Linked DNA regions of Stegostoma tigrinum. The protein of the gene in region 2 interacts with the protein of the main gene of each other region in a biochemical or structural test. Links are inferred from orthologs where the notes say so. Each region holds a gene or a part of one and is shown on either strand. Other genes may lie near its edges.

The links.
Region 1: the proteins of ubiquitin-conjugating enzyme E2 E1 (region 2) and trim23 form a complex in vitro, tested with the Homo sapiens proteins (4 studies listed by BioGRID, with this or other methods). The link is inferred for Stegostoma tigrinum from reciprocal best matches to the Homo sapiens genes UBE2E1 and TRIM23.
Region 3: the proteins of ubiquitin-conjugating enzyme E2 E1 (region 2) and nedd4l form a complex in vitro, tested with the Homo sapiens proteins (2 studies listed by BioGRID). The link is inferred for Stegostoma tigrinum from reciprocal best matches to the Homo sapiens genes UBE2E1 and NEDD4L.

What each region holds. Positions count from the first base shown.
Region 1 is NC_081354.1:117,892,732-117,903,863, forward strand, and holds the start of trim23 (E3 ubiquitin-protein ligase TRIM23), read left to right. Parts: upstream 1-4,959; 5' UTR 4,960-5,201; coding exon 5,202-5,312; intron 5,313-8,747; coding exon 8,748-8,910; intron 8,911-9,890; coding exon 9,891-10,012; intron 10,013-11,132.
Region 2 is NC_081355.1:64,890,467-64,894,066, forward strand, and holds the start of ubiquitin-conjugating enzyme E2 E1, read right to left. Parts: upstream 2,754-3,600; 5' UTR 2,135-2,753; coding exon 1,905-2,134; intron 1,351-1,904; coding exon 1,300-1,350; intron 1-1,299. UniProt on the Homo sapiens protein: Accepts ubiquitin from the E1 complex and catalyzes its covalent attachment to other proteins. Catalyzes the covalent attachment of ISG15 to other proteins. Mediates the selective degradation of short-lived and abnormal proteins.
Region 3 is NC_081354.1:152,022,024-152,033,155, reverse strand, and holds the start of nedd4l (E3 ubiquitin-protein ligase NEDD4-like), read left to right. Parts: upstream 1-5,515; 5' UTR 5,516-5,607; coding exon 5,608-6,147; intron 6,148-11,132. UniProt on the Homo sapiens protein: E3 ubiquitin-protein ligase that mediates the polyubiquitination of lysine and cysteine residues on target proteins and is thereby implicated in the regulation of various signaling pathways including autophagy, innate immunity or DNA repair.

The DNA.
Region 1 (11,132 bases), on a different chromosome or scaffold from region 2:
GGAGACGTCCCGGGCCCTGGCACCAGGGAGGCAACATACCTTCCGGGAATCCCGATCTTGACCACAAAATCTCCTGTCTATTCCCCTAACTATCGAGTCCCCTACCACGAGTACTTTTCTATTTTGCCCCCTTCCCTTCTTTGCCACAGTGTCAGGCTCAGTGCCAGAGAACTGACTACTATGGCTTTCCTCTGGTAGGTCATCCCCCCCAGCAGTATCCAAAACGGTATACTTATTGCTGAGGGGAATGCCCACAGGGGATCTCTGCACTGTCTGTCTGTCCCCTTTCCTCCCCCTAACTGTTACCCATCTATCCTCGTCCTGAGCCTTAGGAGTGACCAACTCCCGATAACTCCTCTCAATTACCCCCTCTGCCTCCCGAATGATCCGTAGTTCATCCAGCTCCAGCTCCATTTCCCTAACACGGTTTTCAAGGAGCTGTAGTTGGGTGCACTTCCCGCAGATGTAGCCAGCGGAGACTCAGGATTACTTCCAGTGCCACAAGCTAGTCAGACTAGAAACAGCAAGATATAAAGGATGAACAAATGGCTGAAAAGATGGTGTGAGGGGGAGGGTTTCAGATTCATGGGGCATTGGGACCAGTTCTGGGGAGGTGGCACCTGTATGAACTGAATGGGTTACACCTGGGCAGGACCGGAACTGATGTTTTAGGAGGCACTTGGAAGAGTGGTTGGGGAAGGTTTAAAATAATGTGGCCAGGGGAATGGGAACCAGACCAGTAGGGCAGTAAATGCAGAAATTGAGACAGAGGTAGTAACCAGGGCAAACATGATAAGGAACAGGCAGAGAAATGCTGTTGAAAAGAGCAGGGAAGGTAGTGTGTGAAATGTATGTGTTTCAATGCAGGAAATACAATTGGCAAAGTGGATGAACTCAGATGATTGGTTAGTACTTGAGACTATGACACTATTGCCATCATGCAGACTTGGCTGAAAGAGGGACAGGACTCAGCCGAATGTCCCAGGATTTGGATGTTGCAGGTGAGATAGAAAGGAATGTAAAGGGGTTGGGAGAGTTGCATTATTGGTGAAGGAGTATCTCATACAGCTATACTGAGGGAGGATACATCAGAGGATTCATGCAGCAAGGCAGAATGGACAGAAATTGGGAATAGCAAAGATGAAATCACAATGCTGGGGGTATAATACAGGCCTCCCAACAGCCAGTGGGAGATAGAGGAGAGATTATGTAGGCAGAGTTTAGAAAGATGTGAAGGTGGTACTGAAGCTGGCAGTGCAGATAGATAAGTTAGTAAAAAAGGCTTCTGGCATGCTTGCCTTCATTGGAAGGGATACTGAATGTAATGGTAGACAACTTATGCTGCAGCTTTATAGAATTTTAGTTAGGCCACACTTGGAATATTGCATACAGTCTGGTCACCACACTACCAGAAGGATGTGGATGCTTTGGAGAGGGTACTGAAAAGGTTTATCAGGATGATGCCTGGTATGGGAGATTTTAGCTATGAAGAAAGGTTGGATAGACTGGGTTTGTTTTCACTGAAATACAGGATGTTGAGGGGCGACCTGATGGAAGTTTATAAGATTATGAATGGCATGGATAGAGTGGGAAGTATGAGGCTTTTTCTCAGCGTGGAGGGATCAATTAGTAGGGGACACAGGTTCAAGGTGCAAAGTGGGTGTGGGGAGATGGAGTTTAAAGGAGATGTGCAAGGCACATTTTTCACACAAAGGGTGGCGAGTGCCTGGAATGCACTACCAGAGAAAGTGGTGTAAGCAGACAACACGTAAACATTCAAGAAGCACTTGGACAAATACATGAAAAGAAAGGTAGTAGAGGGATACAGAGGAAACAGTTTTAATATGGAAAGGCAAATTGTATCGGCGCAGGTTTGGGGGGGCCAAAGGGCCTGTTTTTGTGCTATATTGGACTTTGTTCTTAATAATTATTGTGTTCTGTAACATAATTTGTTTGTTTTTCTTTTGCTTAATACAGGTTTATGTTTTTCTATTGAAAGTATATATTCAATCTCTGGGGGTATGTTCAGTGATTGAACTACAAGATAAACAATGAGAAATAAAACTCATAGTCCATCAAGTCAGGTTTCACTTTGTGATTTGCCTCAAATTACACCTCAATCACAATACTACAAAATTTGTAACAGAAGTCAACCAATCTTCAGTAACAGTATACCTAACAGGTTTGCAGGTATAAAGTTTTGAGGAATTCCTTGGTAAAATGACATTAAGTTGTATCAGTCAATCTCACTTATCTGCACTATATAAGAGATAATCCACTATTATTTGTTCAGATTAGATCAAAACAGATACATAATATACAAGGAACAAATCTATTTAACTAGTTATCACAATCAAATATACCCAACAGATACTTACATCAGCACTCTGTGATATCTAAGTTTGTTACATGATTAAAACTAAAGACCACAGTTCCTACGGAAGTACAAAAATAGAAATCCTGCATGTGTCTATAAATAATGCTTATCTGTTTTCATTATTTTGAGTAAGATCATTGAAAGGATATAGGAAAACAAACCCAATTCACCCACAAAGGCTATTTTTAAAGTGAGTACTTATCTGCACGATTGGGTTTTCAAACATTGACTGTTCCAAAAATAAATGTGATGGACAGTAGAAGCAAATAAAGTTCTATTAAAAATTGGCTATTCTGTAGGCAGCTTAATTTAACCTTTTGAGCTGTTTGGCTAGGCATGCTATATCAGCCTGGCTAACTCTGTGCATTTTGTAGACATCATGCACTGCCAAGCTCCTCTCTGCAACCCTATCACTATGTATGACAATAATAAATTAGCTGGTAAATTATTCCATATGTTAGTTATCATTTGAGTAAAGAAATGTTCGGCATTTGCTGCAGATTTAACAGAACACTTAGCCAGGAGAAGCAGTGTAACAGGATAGAAATAGCAAAAGAAAGTCATTTGGACAAAATATATATGTGAGATGATCAATCACAGATCAGATATAGTGCTGACAACTGCAAACTTCTGTTTGCAAGACGAATTATGTTAAAAAGTGGAAAGGGGCTGTCTGATGAGGAGAGATCTAGTGGGTTGGGCCTATACTCATTCTACTTATTGAAATAGACTAGAGTCTTTGATTTGATTTATTGTAGTCCCATGTCCCTAAGGGCAGTGAAAAGTTTTGTTTTGTGAACAGTACAGGCAGATCATAGCAAGCAAGCATTATAGGGCACCTAGACAGAGCAAGGCATTCAAGGTTATGGCTGCACAGGAGATGCACAAAGCGAGATCAACATTATTTGCATCAGACCTGTAAGCAGATCTCAGAGAACATTTAATAATTTTTACAGACTTAGAATTTCAGTGTAAAAGCACTAAACACTTATAAGAACTGTGAGAATAAGATCTGTTGCAGAGAGCTTGCAAAAGGTAGCCCGGTGTTAGTGCCATCTTGAAACTTGGAGGTTAGGGGACTTGACAGGTTAGATGTGGAAAGGTTGGTTCTCCTTATAGGACAGTCGAGGACTATAGGGCATAATCTCCGAACAAAGGGTTGCCTCTTTTAAGATAGAAATGAGGAGGAATTTCTTCTCTCCAATGGGTAGTGAATTTGTGGAATTCTTTACTGTAGAAAGCTGTCAAGGCTAGGTAATTAAGTTCATTCAAGGATGAGATAGAGAGATTTTTAATCAAGGCCTAGGAGTTAAAGGCAGGGAAGTGGAGTTGAGGATTATCAGATCAGCCACGATTTCATTGAATAGTGGAATAGATTCAACGGGCTGAATGATCCACTTCTGCTTTTACATCTTATGATCTTAAGAATGCCACAACCCAAACTGACTGAAAATTAAGCATGTACAATCTGTGTATACAGCAAGCAAATAAATGTTAGAATGTTGAACTACATAGCGACTAGCTAATACATCAGGAGAAATAGTGATAAAACTGCTCTTTCTGGTCAATATGAGCAATGCAAAAACGAAGTAATGGGGATGCCAAAAATATGATGATTGATAAACTTTTTTTAAAAAATTGTCATTGAGAAATGATTGTCACTGCAGGCCAGCATTTGTTGTGTCTCTCTTTAATTTGCTTTAGAAGGTGGTGAGGAGCTGTATTCCTGAACCACCGCAGCCTATCTAGTGTAGGTACACCACAGTTTCTGCATGTATTCAAATAGTCTTGTTTTGCTCACCAACACATAACTGAAGTGCAGAAAGTATGCAGTGGTGAAGTTGATCTCTGCTGCCGGGTGTCTGAAATATGTGAAAAAGGTTATTGGTGTGGAAAGAGGCTAGATCTGGGCTTTGCAAAATTAAGATAAATATTACTTCAAACTGTGGAAGTATGATTGGAAATAAGCCGTACTCCAGTGAAACGCTTTGGAATGTTTAATTGCATTAAATATCATTTCTAAAATTAGCTTTTACAATTAATTGTGTTCACTTAGAATGTTTAATTACATTAAATGTTAAGTAACCACAATTAATTATTATAAAAACCGATTTTAGAGATGACAATTATTTCTTCTGTATACAGAATACATGGGTGCAGACTCGTGGAGAAGAGTGGGTACGTTAAGATAGCAATTAGCTGGTATGAAAGAGGTTTCTTTCTGGAAGATTAACTATATGTGAACGAAATGAAGACGTGTCTGTCCTCAAGCCTAATTATTCTGTTGAACTCATTTGTGTTGATGAGCCGTCTGATCAACTCCCATTACTTCGTTCTTCTTTCACTAGGTTAAACTCTCGTCTTTCCCGGTTGACATACAATCTCCTTTACAGGTGGTTTCCGTGTTCTTCCCACTTCTGGTATCAACCTGGTAAAATACATTTTCTTTTGAAGAATAACGAACGCTACCCAGATATCGAACCGAAAAGCCTTTCCTACTGTCAAAGCATTGCTCCGTTGCCAACGTCTTGTCCCAAATATGGCCTTCCACTTGTCTCAATGTGAGCATGCGCAGTATATCGCACGGCACCATCCGGACAACACCATAATGGACAAGAAGAAGGACATTTGATTTAGACAAAAATTAGACCAACGCATAAGTTTCAGAAGAATTGATTAGCTACACATAAATTTGATGTTTATTAATCGCTTCGTAATATAACGCTTTTTTGTGATTTCACCTGGGATTATTACGATTTTACCGATTTAAGATATTAATGATCCCCCCCCCTTTTTCGCGGTTTGGGAGCTGGTGTGATCCACAATGGCGGCGGCTCCGTTGAAGTTGTTGCTGACACCGCTGGGGCCAGGACTTGGGCCTGGGCCTGACAGTGGCTCTCGCAGTCTGCGTGCCGTCAACGGCTGCTCGGTCAAGGTGAGTGCGCCCCCCCAAAAACGAAGCATTCGGGCCAGTTTCAGACTGGGCTCGATCTGTGGCTAGTTTTCAGGCCTGGTCTCCCTGCCCCCTGCCCCCCCGTCCTCTACATGGCTTCTGCGTACTCAAAAACACTGGACAAATCCAAATCAACCCAGTCAAACATCACTCACTCAGTTTATTGTAGATTGTTAGCAAAGCAATAGAATAGCGTTGTGTGCAGCACTTGTCAGTGGGGACCAGAAGACTCTCCACTCGTAGGAGTCACCCCGAGAATAAAGGAAGGTAGTTGGAGTTGTTAAGAAGCCAATCATCTCAGTTCAAGAACATCACTAAGCAAGATAGGTGCAGGAAAGGTATTCTTGATGACGAGAACTCCAGAACCAGGGGTCTGGAGTTCTTTATGGATAAGAGGCAAACCTTTAAGGGCTGAGATGAGGAATTTCTTCACCCCAGAGAGTGGCGAGCCTGTGGAATTCACTACCACAGAAAGTGGTTGAAGCTAAAACATTTTATTTTCAAGAAGGAGGTAAATATGCTGTTGTGGCTAACGGGATCAATGGTTAGGGATTAGAATTTTGAGTTCAATGGCCTTACTGAATGGTCTACTCCTGCTCCAATGTTTTATTCCTCGGGCTGGATATTTTCTAAGCAACCTGTTCAGAGATAGGACCACTACCACTTTACCACAGGAGCCAAGTTCCTGAGGGTAAATATTTTCAACCAACCTTTCAGACACACTGGTGGCGGGATTTGAACCCAGGCTTTATGACCTAGAGGTAGAGACAGTACTACAGTGCATCAAGAACCATTCCAGTTCCTTGGGATAATGTGATAAATTGACTCATCTTCAGCTGCTTTATCAATGATCTTGGCTCAATCATGAGGTCAGAGGTGGGAATATTCTCTGATTATTGCCTGTGTAGGCTTGGCTCGATAAATAATACGTAATGTTTGGTGTGAGACAAATGCAAGGTAAGGACCATTTCCAACAAAAAAAATTAACCATTGCCTCTTGATATGTAATGTCATTGCTGATGTCAGAGGCTTGGCATTTTGCAGTGAGTAATTTGCCTGTTGTCTCCTCAGTTTTTCCAAGTAACAAGTCAATGGCATAATCTGTTTGGGCACCAGCTGTTCACAACATTATATATATGACTTGGCTGAGAGAACCAAATGTAACATTTTTGAGTTTACTGATAAAACAAACTGATAACTGATGAACTGAAATAAGGGCAGATTGAGCATTGTCACTGGGGAGGGAACAGGTGGTAAAGGATGCATTCAAAAACCATCTCTAGGTAAAGTAGATTGTGAAGCATCTGTTTTAATCTTGGACGAGCAAAAAGGATGGGGTTGATGGCAAGGAAAGGAGTTTGTGTAGGGACTAAAGATGATGGCTGCACTCTTCTCAATATTTCAACTGCTGCTCATCTGACATGTTGAACATACCCACAGAGGGGACCAAGAGACGTGGAGCAGGCAGTATCAGCATAAACGTGAAGTTTCCATTTGATGTTGTCAAGAAAGAGTTTGTAGATGTGAAACAGATGAGGGCAATGATGGAGCTTTGGGCATCCCAAATAATGGAATGGAATAGAAAACATTGTAGTTGATTCTCTGGCTTTGCATGGATACGCAAGAATGGAACCATGCTGGTTTTGCTCCATCAAAGTGAAAGAGGATAATGATGTCAATTATACCAAAGGGTGTGAAAGGTCATGATGGATAAAGAGGAAAGTTTATCTTTTTGTAGTTGCACAGGCATTTTGGTCATCCTGTGACATCACCACTGTGTTGATGTTTTGCCTTGTGCACGTGATAATGCATTATCTCACATGAGAAAATTGGAATTTGACATGCCAAATTCATAAATTTATGTACTGTTTTCCAAGCGCTGACATTCCAATAAGTATTCTCCTGAAAAATACTTTCGTTCTATGGTATCTTAAAAAGAGAGACTTAAAAATATTTATTCTTAAACCCAACATTTGTTGATGATTTATCCAGTTTTGTGCACAACAAAACTAAGTTTCAGCTAATGTTATTGATGGAATCATCTATCGTAGACTAGACATGTATTATCTCATAAATATACAAAAGTCAGTTTTTTTAAAATGTTTTAGACAAGCTATATTAATGAAAGGTCTAATATTTAAATTTTAAAAAATTTCCATTTGTAATTTTCATTCTGAAGCTACAACGTAATTCAGCAAAAGCTGTATGTAGTTGAGGATTGCTGGTTTATTTTATACGTTTATAATATATAATTTGCAGCATGTCTTCATTGATTATTTTTAGTGTTTCTATAATAAGTGAAATAGAGAACTACTTTGGAAATAAAAAAAATTACAGAGAAATTGTAACAAAATTGGTGACTAAGACAGTAATATTTTGACGGCAGTTTAAAGATAGCCACTTTACTTGGAATGTTAAAAACTGAGTGGCTTTGGGACTATCCAGTGTCAGGAAAGGCTAGTTGGAATAAAAGTAGTAGTATTAAAATTTCCCCCTGCCTAACCCAGAAGTACTGATGTCAGTCAATTTCTTTTCACTCCAGATCACACTTTCACTTACCAGGTTGAGGTGAAGTGAAAATGTCATTGAGTTTGGTTGTGATGTTGTTATGTTATATAGCAGCGAAATGGACCCTTCGGTCCAACCATCCGTGCTGAACATAATCCCAAATTAAACTAGTCCCAGCTGCCTGCTCCTGGGCGATAACACTCCAAACCTTTCATATTCGTGTAGTTATGTAAGTATCTTTTAAATTTTATAACTGCACTGACGTCCACCACTTCTGCAGGAAACTCATTCCACACATGAATCACCCGTCTGTGCAGAAAAAAAACTGCCCCATGTCTGATGTGAATCTCTCTGTTCTAACCTTAAAATTATGATCCCTAGTTTTGAAATCCTGCATCCTGGGGAAAAGACGCCTGCCATTAACTTTACGTATACCTCTCATTACGTCCATAAGTTTACCTCTCAACTGCCTGTGCTCCAGTGGGAAAAAAGGTCCCAGCCTTTCTTTATAACTTAGACTTTCCATACCCAGCATGTTTGGTTGAATAGTCTTTCAACATTCATTGTCAAACTCTTGAATAAATAGCCAACACTTGGGTCACAGTACTGAGGACAGCCAATGATGCTGAAATTCACACTCCAGCAAAGAGCTCTAGGGAGAATAGGACTGTTTGTTTGACCTTTTGATTATGTTGACAATAATAAAAAAAGCTGCTTTCCTTCTCCAACAGTTCAATGTGAGCTTTCGGTATAGATTATTGAATAAAAATTGAATGGGAGTCCTGAAAGGGAATCCACTGCAGCTTCCCCTAAAACTAGCAATCCAGCATCTGGGAATTATTTTTGGTTGGTTTACTTCTGTGGTATATCATGTAGTGCATTTACCCTTCTGAGTCTTTTCATTTTTAGGTTCTGGAATGTGGAGTTTGTGAAGACGTATTCTCTCTGCAGGGAGACAAAGTACCTCGCTTGCTCCTTTGTGGTCACACAGTCTGCCACGATTGTCTCACCCGGCTTCCACTACAGGGGAGAGCAATACGTTGTCCATTTGACCGACAGGTGACTGAATTAGGTTGGTCTGGAAATTTATGTTTCTAATTATTTTTGAATATTTTTAGATATCATACCATATGCTTCAGTTTAAAATTTTTATGATTTATTTTTTACAGATTGTCAAGTTTACATCAGTATGCAAATTTAATTGAACATTACCTAACTCTGCTACAACAAATTGCCAGATACTCCTAATATGGTGACATTATGCTATGGTTAGTTAGGCTCTAAATAAAACATTGCAGAATAGTAATTGGCAGGCAAAACTACAGAAGAATGGTGGGACTGACATTGTATGATGGAAAGGAAAGAATACGCTTACTGTCAGTTGAGACGTCTTGAGAAGTTGTACTGCTGTCATGGCAGTAAACTTGGTCCTTTGTAATGGAAGCTGTTGACGTTTAATCACACTATATTACTTGAGGAGGAACAAAGGAATGCTGGCCAATTGTGCTGGCTAATATTTACTGACAACCAATATCACCATGACAGATAAACTGGTCATTACTACATTATTGTTTATGGAGTTTGCTGTATGTAAGTTAACTACAGCATTTCCTGCATTTACAACTATGATTATACACTTCTTCAAAAGTATTTCATTGACTATAAAATGCTTTGGAGTGTCATAGGGTTTAGAGGCACAATATAAATGCATCATTCCTTTAAATGTTACACTAGAAAAGTTTACCATACAGGATTGAAGTAAGTTGTATGAGACAAAAAGGTGCTTGCTGCTTTGAATAAGTCTTTGTTGGCAAGTTGAGACCATTTTTGTAGTTATGATGAACTTGCCATTGTTCATGCTTGTATAGGTTTTCTTTCTCTCAGCATTTTCAAGATCATCTTCACCTGAATGGACCTAGTTTCATTTCATTATTAGACTATAACTGCAGTTTTTCTTCCCAGTCCAAAACACTTTCAATGACTTAAGGGATGTTTTATTCTACACTATTATCAGAAGATTTGACAAAGGCTGAATATTAATTCATTTGACAGGTGATTCAGGTGTCTGGGGCTTAAAGAAAAATTTTGCTTTGCTGGAGCTCCTTGAACGTTTGCAGAATGGCACTGCCAATCACCATGGACCATCTGAAGAGGTTCTTGAAATGTCAGGAGAGGTAGGTATCGCAGAATAAAAGCAAGCTCCCGCAGGTGGTGGAAATCTGAAATAGAAAACAAAAACTGCTGAAAGCACTCAGCAGGTCAGACAGTATCAAGGAGAGAAACAGAACTCACGGTTCAGGTTGAGTGACTTTTCACCAGTTGTACTACTGGTTTTTGGAACCTTTAGGAGTTAACGCCAGTATGATTTTTATTTTGTACGTATAAGCTTTCAGTTCTCACCTTCTAAACTTTGGATGGGTGAGAAATTTTGTTCCTTTTTGTTAGCGAGTTTTGAGAAGATTTGTAGCTCAGGTTGAGGTTCTGGATGTGAGTTTGCTCGCTGAACTGGAAGGTTAGTTTTCAGACGTTTCGTCACTTTTTTTATTTGAAAAAATATACTTTATTCCTAAGATGTACAAAAAATAAAACATTTATACATCTACCCAGTCATGCAAGCCGCTCCGGATTACCCAGGGGGTACGTACACCAACTAAAGGAAAAAAACAAACAAAGAAGAAAAAAACAAAGCAAAGAAAATACCCCGGCAGTCGTCACCCCGCACAGTCCCACTTGGCCCCCTGACCAGTTGGGGAAGGCGCCAGCTGGGCCCAGTTACCAGATAGGGCCCTTTTTTCTGTTCTGGACGAGGGGTTTCATACCGTGGTCTTTCCCCACCGTGCCTTGGCAGCGGCTGCCCTAAGCTTTAGCGTGTCCCTCAGCACGTAGTCCTGGACCTTGGAGTGCGCCAGTCTGCAACATTCGGTCAGGGTCAGTTCTTTCAGCGGGCAGACCAAAGAGCGTCTTTCACCGCATTGATGGTCCTCCAGGCGCAGTTGATGTTGGTCTTGGTGTGCGTCCCGGGAAACAGCCAGTAGAGCACGGAGTCCCGCGTCACGGAGCTGCTCGGGACGAACCTCGACAAATACCACTGCATCCCCCTCCAGACCTCCTGCGCATAGGCACATTCCAGAAGTAGGTGATCGACAGTCTCTTCCCCCCCCGCAGCCACCTTGAGGGCAGCGTGTGGTGGCGCAGAGATTCCGGGCATGCATAAAGGATCTCACTGGCAGAGCCCCTCTCACTGCCACCCAAGCAATGTCCTTGTGCTTGTTTGAAAGTTCTGGTGATGAGGCA
Region 2 (3,600 bases):
CACTATTATGGCCAAAGCTAGTATGCCTATGTTGTACATTCATTCACTCCAGTGCATTTCAAACATTATTCAAAATTTCTTAGTTATAACTCAAGCTTTGTGCAGTATTTCAGTAATTTTGAGATTCTGTCACCCATTTATTCACAGCTTATGCTATCACATGGATTGATTAAGTTACAGGTTTTAAACTCACTTATCCATTTACTATCTCATTAGAGAGAAAACATACACAATTTGTGATGGAATACCAACAGCGCAGAGTACATCACATGCCAATATCATTTCTGAAATCTAATTAATACCCGAAAACTTATTTCTGGACTCGAAGTTCATGGAGTTGTTCCAATTGTCTCCTTCATAAAACACAAGAATTTTCATGTGCAACATAACTGTAGGCTCTATCTTGGGCAAATATACAAACGAATCAATGACTAATATCCAAGAAGGGTGGTGTTTTAAATAAATGCTCAAGTTATAAGCGAAGTGAAAGAGTTTCTCGAACAGGAAGTGATCCAACTAAGTGGAAATGACTTTTAAATGTTTTTCACAACATAGGTACTGAGTGCCATTTTTGTTCTCATTAAGAAAACAAGAACGAACTACAACCCAGAAGACATCATAACTGCAAATCTCATTTTGTCCTAAAATGTGACAACATCCCAATCACTATCTCACATTTTGTACACTAATTAATTGTAGGCAGACCTTATTCTGGTCTTGCAAAAGCAGTTAAAAAAAATTTAAGGAGTTTTGTTTTGAAAAGAAAAGGTGAGGCTTAAAATTGTCCACTGGATAGGAACTTGTCACCATCTTATCAGCACTGATTAAAATCATTTAAAGTCAAATTACTCGCATTTGCGGTGTCTGTGAAGGACATAACATTTACTTATCAAAAATGAGCACGTCTATTACATACACAACCAGAACACTTCAGTAACCCCAGTACCTCCCCCCCCCCAAAAAATCACAATTGTGAAACAGCCCAAATGCAGATGGACAAGAATCTTCCAGGAAGTTTAGTACTGATGGGAATCCCCTCAACGTGGAGGAAATTTTCAAGCTTCCAAACTGAAACTTATTAGAGAAACTTCAGTTTAAAGTACTGACGTTTAACTTCTATTTGATTCTGCAAATAGAAAATTGGCCTGAATCCCAATTTCTGTTTCAATACAACAATCACTACTCTTTTAACTCATTAACCAGATTTTTAAAATAAAACAAAAATCGCACGCCCAGTTATCATCGCCCTTTTAACGCAGATATTAAAGCAGACCATTTATTTTATGAGAAATAACTAACCTGCAGTTCGGTGGTGGATCCAACGTGATGTCAGCCAGCTCCTTCTGGATTCTGTCAAACATAAAACATTGACCATTTTAAAAACTCACGGCATAACTAAGAATGCCACATTCCCAACACATTCTCCGAAATTTCACGACTTCAAAAAGTTAGGGAAATAAAATAAAGCAAAGACGTTGACCCTCAGCCTGTACGAGAAAGCGAGAGGGGGGGAAAAACATGGCCGCCTCTCACAGCTCCAAGAAGCTAATACAGTGAAAAATTTCCAACTCGATTGCCGCACTCCTCCGGCGAGCAGAGTCCGCACAAGCCGGCCCAGTGGAAAGTAGTTGGCGTCAGAAATGCAAACCCGGGGCAATGGAGTCAGAACTCGGCCCTGTTTTTTTGTACAAAATGATCTTAGCTAATATGCAAATGAGCCTCTGGTGTTAAAGAAGTCTGGCGTGTCGCGGGTGAGAGAAAGGAGGAAACCCCGGAGGGTGGGGGGAAGGGGGAAGGGGAAGAGAAGCAAAGCAGGAGCCCCATGATCTCTCCCCCCCCCCCCCCCCCCCCACCCCAGACCAACGGCCGGAGCTCGTGCCCACCCCCCCGCCATCCGCACTCACCTCTTGGCGCTGGTGGTGAGCAGTTTGGGGTTCTTGCTCATGGTGTTGTTCTTCGCTTCTCTTTTCCTCTTGCTCCCTCCGCCGCTACCACCCCCGCCGCCGCCGTTGTTATCGCTGCTGCCGCCGCCGGTGATGCTGTCGTTGTTGTTTCTCGTCTCTTTCTCAGCTGCTTGTGAAGAACTTGAAGACGAGGAGGAGCTGGTGCTGGCCCTCGAGTCGTCATCCGACATCTCCACCGCTGGCTCGCTGTCACACACTGACTGCGTTGAAGCACGACAGTGTCTCACTCTCTGCTCCCCTCCCACCTCCCAAACAAACACACAACACACCGACAACAACGGAAAAGATGGAGAATCAAGACATAGAACTTAACATAATTAAAAAGGAAAGCGGACACCTGAAGAGATAAGAGTATAGAGAGAGGTGAGGATACAATGTCAGTAAGAGTGAGTCACAGTGTATCTGATGTAGTGTAACACTCACAGCAACAACGCACTGACTGACACTCACTCACCGAGCAATATCCCGTCATCGGCTGCGCACTATCAGCTGGAGCTGCTCCAGCTCTGGAGTGATTGAGGGGACTATCCTCACAACAATAACAAAACAGACAGGATGCCACACTTTGTACAATCTGTGGAAAAAAACAAGTGTTGCACCATATGGACTTGAAGAATGAACCTGCTGTCAGATGTTGACTTTTGTATTTGTTATACTTTTCGCTGTGTGTTTCTGTCCTCCTTTTACTTTATTTTCCCTCTTTGTTGGATTCTTTTTACACTTTTGCTTCTCTGGTAATCTGGACAGCGATTGTCGCCGACCTGCCGGTTGCCAGGGCTGGTACAATGTCAGACGCGTGTCTCACTCGGACAGGGAAAGGAACGGAAGTAGACCAACCACAAATGCAGGGAGGAGACAGGGCTTCTTTGGGATTGTTACAAGGTCTGGTAACTACATAGAAAGTTGTACTCACACACTTCTAGGCACATTGTTTGTCTATTTTCGGATTAATTGACTTGGTTCATTAGGTTTCACTGACATTTTTATTCTATTGCTCATGAACTTTGTATTTAAACACTTAAATGTTTTTAAAAGACAACACGGATAATTTGTTGAATGAAGTGAAGACGTTTTCAGACATGTTTGATATTCCAAGGAAGTTTAGTTTTTTTTTCCTTTCTTGTCTAAAAACTCTTGATGTGGTCTTTCAGGATCTCAAAGACACCCAAACCACTCGATCAATCGAAGTAGTTTATAACGTATGAAATGGCGGTTGCCAATTTACAAACTGCAGGGCAATATTAACCAGATAATTTGTTTGCAATATGTTGGTGAAGGGACAACATTCATTAGGATACTAGAGGGAATACTCATTCTCTTCTTCGAAATTGACATAAGCAAAATTATAGTACTGATAAATGTAATAAACCTAAAAACAATGCCAAATGCTCCAGACTAAGTGACTTTCATCCCATGGTTTTGCAGGAAGGAGAGAATCCTTAATGCCCAAACTCTGTTCCCCTCTCATTCTCGCAACTGAACAATTCATGTAGATTGGGAAAACTCCAGACCACTTGGTTATTTAAGAAAGGAAACCCAAGCATGTGAACCAATTTGTGAAACTTTTAAAGTCTATATTAAAAGTAGAGAGTAACTGAGCACCTTAAACTTTCAGCGAATCAGAATGGGCCAACTT
Region 3 (11,132 bases), on a different chromosome or scaffold from region 2:
TGCAGGGTTCCCAGGCGGAATATGAGTTGCCGTTCCTGCAACCTTCGGGTGGCATCATTGTGGCAGTGCAGGAGGCCCATGATGGACATGTCATCTAGAGAATGGGAGGGGGAGTGGAAATGGTTTGCGACTGGGAGGTGCAGTTATTTGTTGCGAACTGAGCGGAGGTGTTCTGCAAAGCGGTCCCCAAGCCTCCGCTTGGTTTCCCCAATGTAGAGGAAGCCGCACCGGGTACAGTGGATGCAGTATACCACATTGGCAGATGTGCAGGTGAACCTCTGCTTTATGTGGAGTGTCATCTTGGGGCCTGGGATAGGGGTGAGGGAGGAGGTGTGGGGACAAGTGTAGCATTTCCTGCGGTTGCAGGGGAAGGTGCCGGGTGTGGTGGGGTTGGAGGGCAGTGTGGAGCGAACAAGGGAGTCACGGAGAGAGTGGTCTCTCCGGAAAGCAGACAGGGGTGGGGATGGAAAAATGTCTTGGGTGGTGGGGTCGGATTGTAAATGGCGGAAGTGTCGGAGGATGATGCGTTGTATCCGGAGGTTGGTAGGGTGGTGTGTGAGAACGAGGGGGATCCTCTTAGGGCGGTTGTGGCGGGGGCGGGGTGTGAGGGATGTGTTGCGGGAAATACGGGAGACGCAGTCAAGGGCGTTCTCGATCACTGTGGGGGGAAAGTTGCGGTCCTTAAAGAACTTGGACATCTGGGATGTGCGGGAGTGGCATGTCTTATCGTGGGAGCAGATGCGGCGGAGGCGGAGGAATTGGGAATAGGGGATGGAATTTTTGCAGGAGGGTGGGTGGGAGGAGGTGTATTCTAGGTAGCTGTGGGAGTCGGTGGGCTTGAAATGGACATCAGTTACAAGCTGGTTGCCTGAGATGGAGACTGAGAGGTCCAGGAAGGTGAGGGATGTGCTGGAGATGGCCCAGGTGAACTCAAGGTTGGGGTGGAAGGTGTTGGTGAAGTGGATGAACTGTTTGAGACAACCCTGGTAATTGTAGACCAGTGAGCCTTACCTCAGTTGTTGGTCAATTGTTGGAAAAGGTTATAAGGGATAGGATTTATAATCATCTAGAAAAGAATAAATTGATTAGGGTTAGTCAGCACGGTTTTGTGAAGGGAAGGTCGTGCCTCACAAACCTTATTGAGTTCTTTGAGAAGGTGACCAAACAGGTAGATGAGAGTAAACCGATTGTGGTGTATATGGATTTCAGCAAGGCGTTCGATAAGGTTCCCCACAGTAGGCTATTGTACAAAATGCGGAAGAATGGGATTGTGGGAGATATAGCAATTTGGATTGGAACTTGGCTTGCTGAAAGAAGACAGAGGGTGGTAGTTGATGGGAAATGTTCATCCTGGAGAGCAGTTACTAGTGGTGTACCGCAAGGGTCGGTGTTGGGTCCACTGCTGTTTGTCATTTTTATAAATCACCTGGATGAGGGCGTAGAAGGATGGGTTAGTAAATTTGCAGACGACACTAAGGTCGGTGGAGTTGTGGATAGTGACGAAGGATGCTGTCGGTTGCAGACAGACATAGATAAGCTGCAGAACTGGCCTGAGAGGTGGCAAATGGAGTTTAATGCAGACAAGTGTGAGGTGATGCACTTTGGTAGGAGTAACCAGAAGGCAAAGTACAGGGCGAATGGTAAGATTCTTAGTGTAGTTGAGCACAGAGATCTTGGTGTTCATGTACACAGATCGTTGAAAGTTGCCACCCTGGTTGACAGGGCTGTTAAGAAGGCATACAGTGTTTTAGCTTTTATTAATAGAGGGATCGAGTTCCAGAACCACGAGGTTATGGTGAAACTGTACAAAACTCTGGTGCGGCCGCACTTGGAGCATTGTGTACAGTTTTGGTCACCGCATTATAAGAAGGATGTGGAAGCTTTGGAAAGGGTGCAGAGGAGATTTACTAGGATGTTGCCCTGGTATGGTGGGAAGGTCTTACAAGGAAAGGCTGAGGGACTTGAGGCTGTTTTCATTAGAGAGAAGAAGGTTGAGAGGTGACTTAATAGAAACATATAAAATAATCAGCGGGTTAGATAGGATGGATAGACAGAGGCTTTTTCCTAGGATGGTGACGGCGAGCACGAGGGGGCATAGCTTTAAATTGAGGGGTGAAAGATATAGGACAGATGTCAGAGGTAGTTTCTTTGCTCAGAGAGTAGTCAGGGAATGGAACGCTTTGCCTGCAACGGTAGTAGATTCTCCAACTTTAGGTATATTTATGTTGTCATTGGATAAACATATGGACGTACATGGAATAGTGTAGGTTAGCTGGGCTTGAGATCAGTATGACAGGTCAGCACAACATCGAGGGCCGAAGGGCCTGTACTGTGCTGTCATGTTCTACGTTCTATGTTAACAATTCCTGTCCCTGCTGTATCCGTGGGTCAGTTTTTGTCCAGTGTGTGCAGGAGAGCTTCCTGACACAGTATGTAGATAGGCCAACAAGGGGCGAAGCCACGTTAGATTTGGTACTGGGTAATGAGCCTGGCCAGGTGTTATTGTATGCCAACTCTCCCTTTCCTGTGAAAACTGTTAACCATGCATTCGCATTATCAGCTTCCTGTCTCCTCTGCAACTTTGGTATTGTTTGTGTCTGTTACACCATGTCAAAATAACCTACACCAAAATTGTGAATGACATCTTCCATGATTTTGGATTTATAGCACCAACATTCTGCATCATATCTGTTTCATGTGGCGTTTGCTGTGCAATATTCCTCTAATATTTCGTCTTAGTTTCCAAATGTGTGTGTTCTTAGTGTAGCTGTTATATTATGACATAGTTCAGTTCTTGGATAAAGTTGCACATTTCCACTTTGAGTTTTCTAAAGTTCAATCCTTGGACCTCTTCTGCTTCTAAGCTTAAAAAGTTGCTTACCCTTGTGTCATTTGTGGCTCTGGCTTCTCTATTATTAAGGTCTGGATTCACCAAGTCACACTTGATTACTTGAACATGATTACGTGGTACTCTAATCCTTCACTGAGGGATGCCTACACATTTGATCATGCTGTTTGTTCCTTCAGATAATAAAACGTGTGACACTACTTGGAAGAAAGGCAGTTATCCTTTTTGTCCACATCACTATGTATTCTTCAGTCAACATAACTTAAAAACGGGTTATCTGTTCATTATCACATTCCTGTTTACACTATCTTGCTGTATATATAATAGCCCACGTTTCCTACATAACTGAAATTCAGAAAAGTGCTTGATTAACTGTAAAGAGCTTTAAACTATCTGGTGATCCTGAAAGGAACCAAATAAATGTACGTTCTTTTCTTCACAATGACATTTTCAGGCATGTGATCAAAACTTAGACTGGACAATTGACTTCATATCTGTCAATTCTGTTCATATTTCAATGACTTATTTAGATCTTGAATGAGTCACACTTTCTATGACCTGAATAGTAGGAATGCCCATGCCGTTGTTTTTGGCATTTGAAGTAAGCTTTGGTGACTTGTCTCTGATTTCATCATTGTTATTGGCCAGAACTCGGAATTGAAAAGAAATCTGCAACTTCAGCATTGTTGTCCACATCCTCAGTATTACTTCTCTCTAAGTTGCTGCGTTACCAAAGCCCTCAAAATATTTTCTACCTCTGCGCATGATTATTTTGACATTTGATTGCCTGAAATGCCATCGTCTATTAACTACAAATTCCTTGTTGTCTCAAGTGCAATAATCTGCGTCCATGTTTGCACAGAGTCCAAATCTCCTATCATCTTATCATCCATATTTTCCAACATTATCTCCTGTCCTGATGCATTTTGTTTATAATTTTGTCCTTGCCTGCAGTGCCGCTCCATTTCTGTATGTGTTAGCTATACAACCTCTAACAGCCATACAGTGCATATTTCAGTGTATCTGTTTCAGCCTCCAATGTGGCTAAATCCCTCAATCTTTGTTTGGTGGCAGGGCTGTCTGTTTCCGCAGGTCATTTCTCAAAGCCATTTCCCCATGTCATTTCTGCACTGTTTTATTTTTCTACCTGCCTTTAAAAGAAATCTAACCCATTCCAACCTGGCTTTCCATCGTCATCTTTCCCCATGTTGAAACAACTGGCAACAGCTTCCTCCTCCTTGGATAGTTTAGACAACTAAAGTTGTTGGTGTGTGAGAAAATATATCTTTGCATAAAGTTGGTCATGCATAAGACAGCCAATTTTAAAAAATCTTCTATTAGTATTGCAGTACTGTATTACCTTCTGCCAGTTTTCCAACAGATATGAGTTATAGTTAACAGTATATCTGTCTTAATTGGCTATTATACTGAACTTTAAATAAAACTGTATTTCTTGAGCTTTCCCCTGACTGAAAATAGATCTTTCATGGCTGTGTTTAAAGCAGCTGTATGTTTTTGCTCACAGAGCAGCTATAAAATTGGATTTAGTGTAATCATTAAATTTGTTTTGGTCTTAGCTTATGGAAGTAGGGTTTTAGAAACCAGCTCTCGTATTTAGACAAGTTACATCAATATTTCACAGATTCTGTAAGCTCTCCAGAGCTTTTGTAATTGCCTTTATATTCTGTCTTTCAAAATATTCTGCTGTCGTGTGATGAGATTTATTGTGGTAAATGGAGGCTGCTTTGGTCAGCTGCATGTGCTTTCCCGCTGGGGTTGCTCCCTTTGATGGAAAAGGAGCAGCTGTGAAGGCACTGTTTCAGACACTTGCTGCCTTTGGGAAAAAAATTTCTGCTGTGCATTGGAAGGGGAGTTGCATCATGTGACTGCTACCACCCTACCCCATGTTATACTGTGTAGTACTACTGATTGCCTTTATCCAATCATGCCTGGAATGCTGCCTGTCACTTGGGCTATTTCTGCTATCTGTCGCTGTCAAGCTTCAGTGCTAACCGTTTGGCAGATGGGACAGTTTTTTCTCGAGCTTACCTCTTTGCTTTCTTTAAATATGCTTTTGGCAGTGTGATTTCCTCTTCTCGTATTTTAAACTGGGCTGTTGGTGTTAAACTATGGCCCATCGACTGCGCCTTTACTTTGGATCAAATAGGAGTCACACTGATCCAGAATCGGAGATGTTAGATGAAGAGAGAGAAAATGACATCTATATGACATTCCACACTTTGCCAAGGAGGAATGCCCCTCATCCTTTCCAGGATATGCCTAGGCCTGTGTCCGATGCTGTGCTGCCTTTACAGGATCAAACCTCCTTGAGTCGCAGCTCTTCCATGTTCATTCCTCAGTTGCACAGTTCTGAGTCACGACCCACCAGGAGTTCCTCGATGCAGATATCGTTGCAGCGCAACCCTATGAATGGATATGGTGATACCAGTGTCTCGGAGTCTCTGGAACAGCCGTTACCAGACTTTGGAATGGAAGTTGGCAACAATGATGGCTTATTTTCTAGGAGCCATTCTCTTCCAAGTGTCCCTCGAAACACAGATGATCCCCCATCCTATAATATGGCTGCATCACAACAGGTTATTGGAAATGTTCCATCTAATTGTACAATAAGCTCTCTTTTTCCTGTGGAACAAAAGCCATGCAGTATTGGTCAAGATGAATTAACAAATGGGTCTCCCTCTGATCTAAAGGTTGGAGATGTACCTGTTCAACACTGCTCGCCAACAGAAATAGATCAAATGCAGTTTTCATCTTTCACTCGTAATGGACGTCCAAAAGCTCATGCCTCTGTAACTAGGCGTTGGTCTTTACAACATCAGCCGTACATGGCGGGGAACATGGGGAAATCTTGTTTTGTCTTCCAGCTCCAGCAACAGTGCAAAGGTGTCCAGGACTCCTGGATGGATTTCAAAAGGGGACGAGCATGCACAAAGGATGAGCAAGCAGCTAGGCATCCACATGTACGACTGGGGCGAAGTGCCTCTGCCACCTTTCCAGTTAAGGGAAATGCTGAGTGTTTTGGTGCTGCTGAGAGAAGGAAGCAACTCGCAGGAACACTAACTGGGGAAAACAATTCAGACATGCTTTGCGGCACTTATGGCACTTTGCCGCAAACACAGTCCTGTAAGTTTAAAATCAGACAGGAGCGAAATCAGAGGCAACCACACTTTCGAATTCTTTTAACCCGAGGATCTGAAGAGCAGAATGAAGGCTCAATAAGGGATAATGGTGGTTGTGTTCAGACAAGAATGAATTCAATCACCGGAGAGGACTCTGTGGTATGTAACCAGTTCAAAAGTGTATCTGTCACTTAGACTGTGTGTGGGGGTGCTATTTTGAGGCTAAAAGTGGGTTGGGTGAGGGGTTGGATTTATGGTGTGGGACCTAAATACAATTGGTTTCAGAGGTGAGACTGCATAAAATGAAGTTCTGACAATGCTATAACTTAAAGATGAATGGTTTCTGGTTTATTTTCTTAAATTGTGGTTTGTCTGTCTGAGGAGTGAATCTGCAGGAGTTGTCTTAATATGTTTCCAAACAAGATGTGTATAGACAAGTAAGCTATGTCACCAGTTTAGAAAGCAGGCTTGAAATCACACAAGTTGGTGTTTAATGCCTTTGTGTGCTCTTTTGAAATATGGCGTAGAAACAGGTTTCCTCCCTCAAGTATAAATCTGCACCACACAACAAATTTGTTTGTGTTTTTCAGTTTGGTAGAAGAAACTGAAAGAAGCATTTTTGTTATGAACTGTTTAAATAGTTTGCAGCTGGAAGTTGGCTGAATGTAAAGCACCAAGCATATTCTCTCTTTTCCCATCGTTTGTGTTTACTGTGTCTGATGGAAGACATGACTTATGGTCTGTCTTAGCAGGTGTCATACTTTTACTTGAGACGAATAAGAGAATTAATTTTACTGTCTACTGGCTCTGGCCCAGAGACAATTTGGGGCTGCAGATGTTCCTTCCGCTATTCCTGTAAAAGAAAAAATGAAACGAAAATATTATTTGAGCGATGTTTTTCCCTTTGCAAGTTCATAAAAAGCAAAGTTGAACAGGGTGTATATCAGGCATGCAATTCAATCCCCCAGTTCACACTCAGTGAATTCAGTTAAACTTAAGTTTTGTAGTGCTCAGTGGCAAGCACTTAGAAAAAATGGAAACAATATGAACTAAAGCAAAAAAGTCAAGGAAGAGAGATTTTGTGTCCAGAGGACGCTCATAGTCCTAACTCAATTAAATTGAATTAATAGTCATTACATAATCTTAATTCTGTGAATGTTTGATCTTTTAAAAATAGTATTTTGTACTTCTACTTCTGTCTAGTCACATGTATTACGGGCACAGTCCGTTTGTGCTGTTGTGTAACCCTCCTTTCTTAACTGGAAGCTAATGTGTTGGATCAGCTTGAGATTCTGTTAGGAGCCATCTAAATCCAGCAGAGGAAACATTGCCAGAGGAAACACTTCTGCATGGCCAATCAACAACATGCCTTCCAGATCCTGGAGTCTCCAACGTTGCGCATAAGCTAATAAAAACTTACAGCTCCTATTGGAACAGTGGAGTTATGTGTGAAACATGACTGCCTCTCCATAAGCAGCAGAACTGCTGCTGATCCAGAACAAAGGAGAGATGAACATAGTTTCAAGGCTTAAAAAGAGTAGCACTACATTGTGTATTCTTTGAAGTGCAAATTGAAACGTATTTCATACAGAGTATACTCCCCAGCCGTGCCAGCCCGCTGCCAAAACGTTTCATCTTCAAAATGCTCCAGAACGGCCTTTCTTAGCTTGTCAAATATGTGATGGAAGCAAGTATTTAATTCACAGTCAAAAATTTGTGAACAAGTACAATGTACACTTTAAAGAATATTTAAAAGCTGAATTACAGAGTGATTGAGTCACAGAGATATACAGCATGGAAATAGACCCTTTGGGCCAACTCAACCATACTGACCAGATATACTAAATCTAGTCCCAATTGCCTGCATTTGGCCTATATCCCTCTAAACCTTTCCCGCACGTGTACCCATCCAGATACCTTTTAATTGTTGTAATTGTACCAGCCTCCACCACTTCCACTGGCAGCTCATTCTATATATGCAACACTATCTGTGTAAAAAAAAAGTTGCCTCTTAGGCCCCTTTTATATCTTTCTCCTCTCACCTTCAACCTATGCCCTCTAATTTTGGTCTCCCCCACTCTGGAGAAAAGTCCTTGCCTATTTACTCTATCCATGCCTATCATTTTATAAATCTTTGAGATTTCCCCCTCAGCCTCCGACACTCTCAAGAAAATAGCCCCAGCCTACTCAGCCTCCTCCTATAGCTCAAACTTTCCAACCCTTTCAATGTCCTCGTAAAACTTTTCTGAACTCTTTCTAGTTTCACAACATCCTTCCTTTAGGAGGGGGACCAGAAGTGAATGCAGTGCTCCAAAAGTGGCTGAACTAATGTCCTGTACAGCCACAACATGACCTCCCAACTCTGTACTCAGTGCACTATCAACCTGTGACCTATAAGTAACATGCAACTCATCCACTTGGCAAAAAAAACAGCCAAAGCAGTGCAGTTGCTAGAAATCAGAAACTGAAACAGAAATTGCTGTTGAAACACATCTGGCCACATCTGTGGAGAGAAATATTTCAAGCCCAGTGACCCTTCAGGGAGTCCTGTGGTCCTGGGTGAATTAAAATCATGAAAGATGAAACTTCATTTGGAATCCACTTAACGTTAGTCTGAGCTGGAGACAGTCACTAAGGAATGTGATGTGGCTGTGGAAATGATTTTTGGACAATACCTTGTGAAAAATCAGTACTGCAACGAAAGTAGTAACGGTGACCCAGAAAAAGGATTAGAATGGAAATCTTGAAGGAGAGAGGCGCAGAACTTCTTTAAGCTGGACACTTCTGGAAGAGATGTGGCAACAAGTTAAAACACTAAACACAAAAACTCAAAGCTTGAGGATGCTTGAAATCAGAAACCAAAACAGTAATTGTTAGAAAAACTCAGCAGGTCTGGCAGCATCTGTGGTGAGAAATCAGAGTCACCATTTTGGATCCCAGTGGCTCTTCTTCAGGGTCCCTCAGATTTGTGACTGTTTCCATGGTGAGTGAGCACAGCACAAACTCGTGGAGGTGAGTTTGGGTTCCGGTGGTGCCTGTTTCCAGTGCAGATTCATCGAGGTGGCAGCGGAGGTGGGTTTGGGCCCAGTTCAAGACCTGGCTGTGCCAGCAGCAGTTATATCAGAAACTTGGGCCTGAAGTGGACTCATGGTGATGGCGAAGTTGAGTTTGGACTGTGCAGTAGCCAGTGACATTGGTGGCACCTGCTATGCCGAGGTCCAGCGAGGACTCATAGTGCTGAGGATGTTGGAGGTGAGATGGTGCTGAAAATTGGCAACCTTTATTCTAGTGGCCATGGTGTGGTGCGGCCGTCCGTCTGACGAAGGGCCTAGACCCAAAACGTCAGCTTTTGTGCTCCTGAGATGCTGCTTGGCCTGCTTCATCCAGCTTCACACTTTGTTATCTTGGATTCTCCAGCATCTGCAGTTCCCATTATCACTCATCATTAAAACTTGTTTTTCTGAGTGTAAACAAAAGCCTATGACAGGTCTGTTCTTTAAGTTCTGGCCTGTTTTACATCCCTGACTTTGACTGACTTCTGGTGGTTGTGTTTTCAACCTGGGCCTCAAACACTGGCAGTATCCGTGCTAAACATCTCACTACTTAAGAGGCATTGTTGGTGGGAGATGGTGTCTACACAGCATTAACCTCAGTCTCTGGATCACTGGGAAAGTGATGCAGAAAGTGAGGTTAATGCTGTGTGGACATGGGTGCAGGTCCCATCGTGCTAAATTAGAGAATTGCAGAGTGATTTTGGCATTCATACCCACTTAGAAAAGACCATAAGATGCACCAGCAGAAGGAGGCCATTTCAGCTCATCAAGTCTGCTCCGTCTTTCAATGAGAATCCAAACTCCATTTTCCAACCTTTTCAATGTGATCCTTGATTCCCTTGCTGATGAGAAATCTATCCACCTCTGCCTTGAATATAAGTAATGACCTAGCCTCAGCAGCCTGAGAGAACTTGGGAAATAAACAATCAAGTCTTGAAAAGAGTCCACCTTACAGAAGAGGTGGTGGTGTTGGAGGTCTTAAAATACATGAAGGTAAATAAATCCCTGGGACATGATTGGGTGTGTCCCAATACATTGTTGGAAGTTAGGGAAGTGATTGTTGGGATATTTGTATCATCAGCAGCCACGGGTGAAGTGCCAGAAGACTGTGAGCGGTGGATAAGGTTGTGGCATTACTTAAAGTCTGTACAAAAAGGCAGGAAACTAAAGACTGGTGAGCCTGATGTCAGTGATAGGAGGGCATTCTGAGAGGCAGGCTGTGTATGCATTTGGAAAAGCAAGAACTGGTCAGCGATAGCATGGCCTTATGCATCGGAAATTGTATCTCAGTTTTTTTGAAGAAGTGACTGAGAAGTTAGATTGCAGAGTGGTAGATGTCTGCATGGACTTTAGCAAGGCTTTTGACATGGTTCCACATGGCAGACTAGTTAGTAAGTTCAGATCACGTAGGATTCAGGGAGAGCTTGTCAATTGGATTCAAAATTGACTTGACGGTAGGAGACAGAGCATTTGTGCTTCGGACTGAAGGCCTTTGATTAGCAGTGTGTGGTAAGGATTGGTGCTGGGCCCACTGCAGCTTGTAATTTATATAAACTATTTGGATGAGAATATAAGATGTATCGTTAGGAAGTTTGTGGATGACACCAAAATGTTGGTATAGTGGACAGGGAGAAAGTTATCCATAAGCACAACAGCATCTTGATCAAGTGGGCCAATGGGTTGAAAAGTGGCAGGCTAATTTAAATAAATCCAAGGTGTTGCATTTTGGAAAGACAAACCAGGGCAGAACTTAGACAGTTAATGGTGGGGCCCAGGGGAAGGTTGCCAAACAGAGATCTTGGAGTCCAAGTACATAGCTCCTTGAAAGTGGCATCACAGGCAGCCAGAGTGGCGAAGGTGGCTTTTGGCATGCTTGCCTTCGTTGGTCAGAGTATTGAGTATAGGAATTTGGGTGTCATATCTCAGCTGTACAAGACGTTTGTGAGGCCACCTTTTGGAGTACAGCATACAGTTCTGGTTGCCCTGCTATAGGAAGGATGTCATTAAACTGTAGAAAAGATTTACAAGGATGTTGCCCAAGACTGGACGGTGAAGTTCTAAGGAGAGACTGGGGTTTTCTTTTTGTCTGGA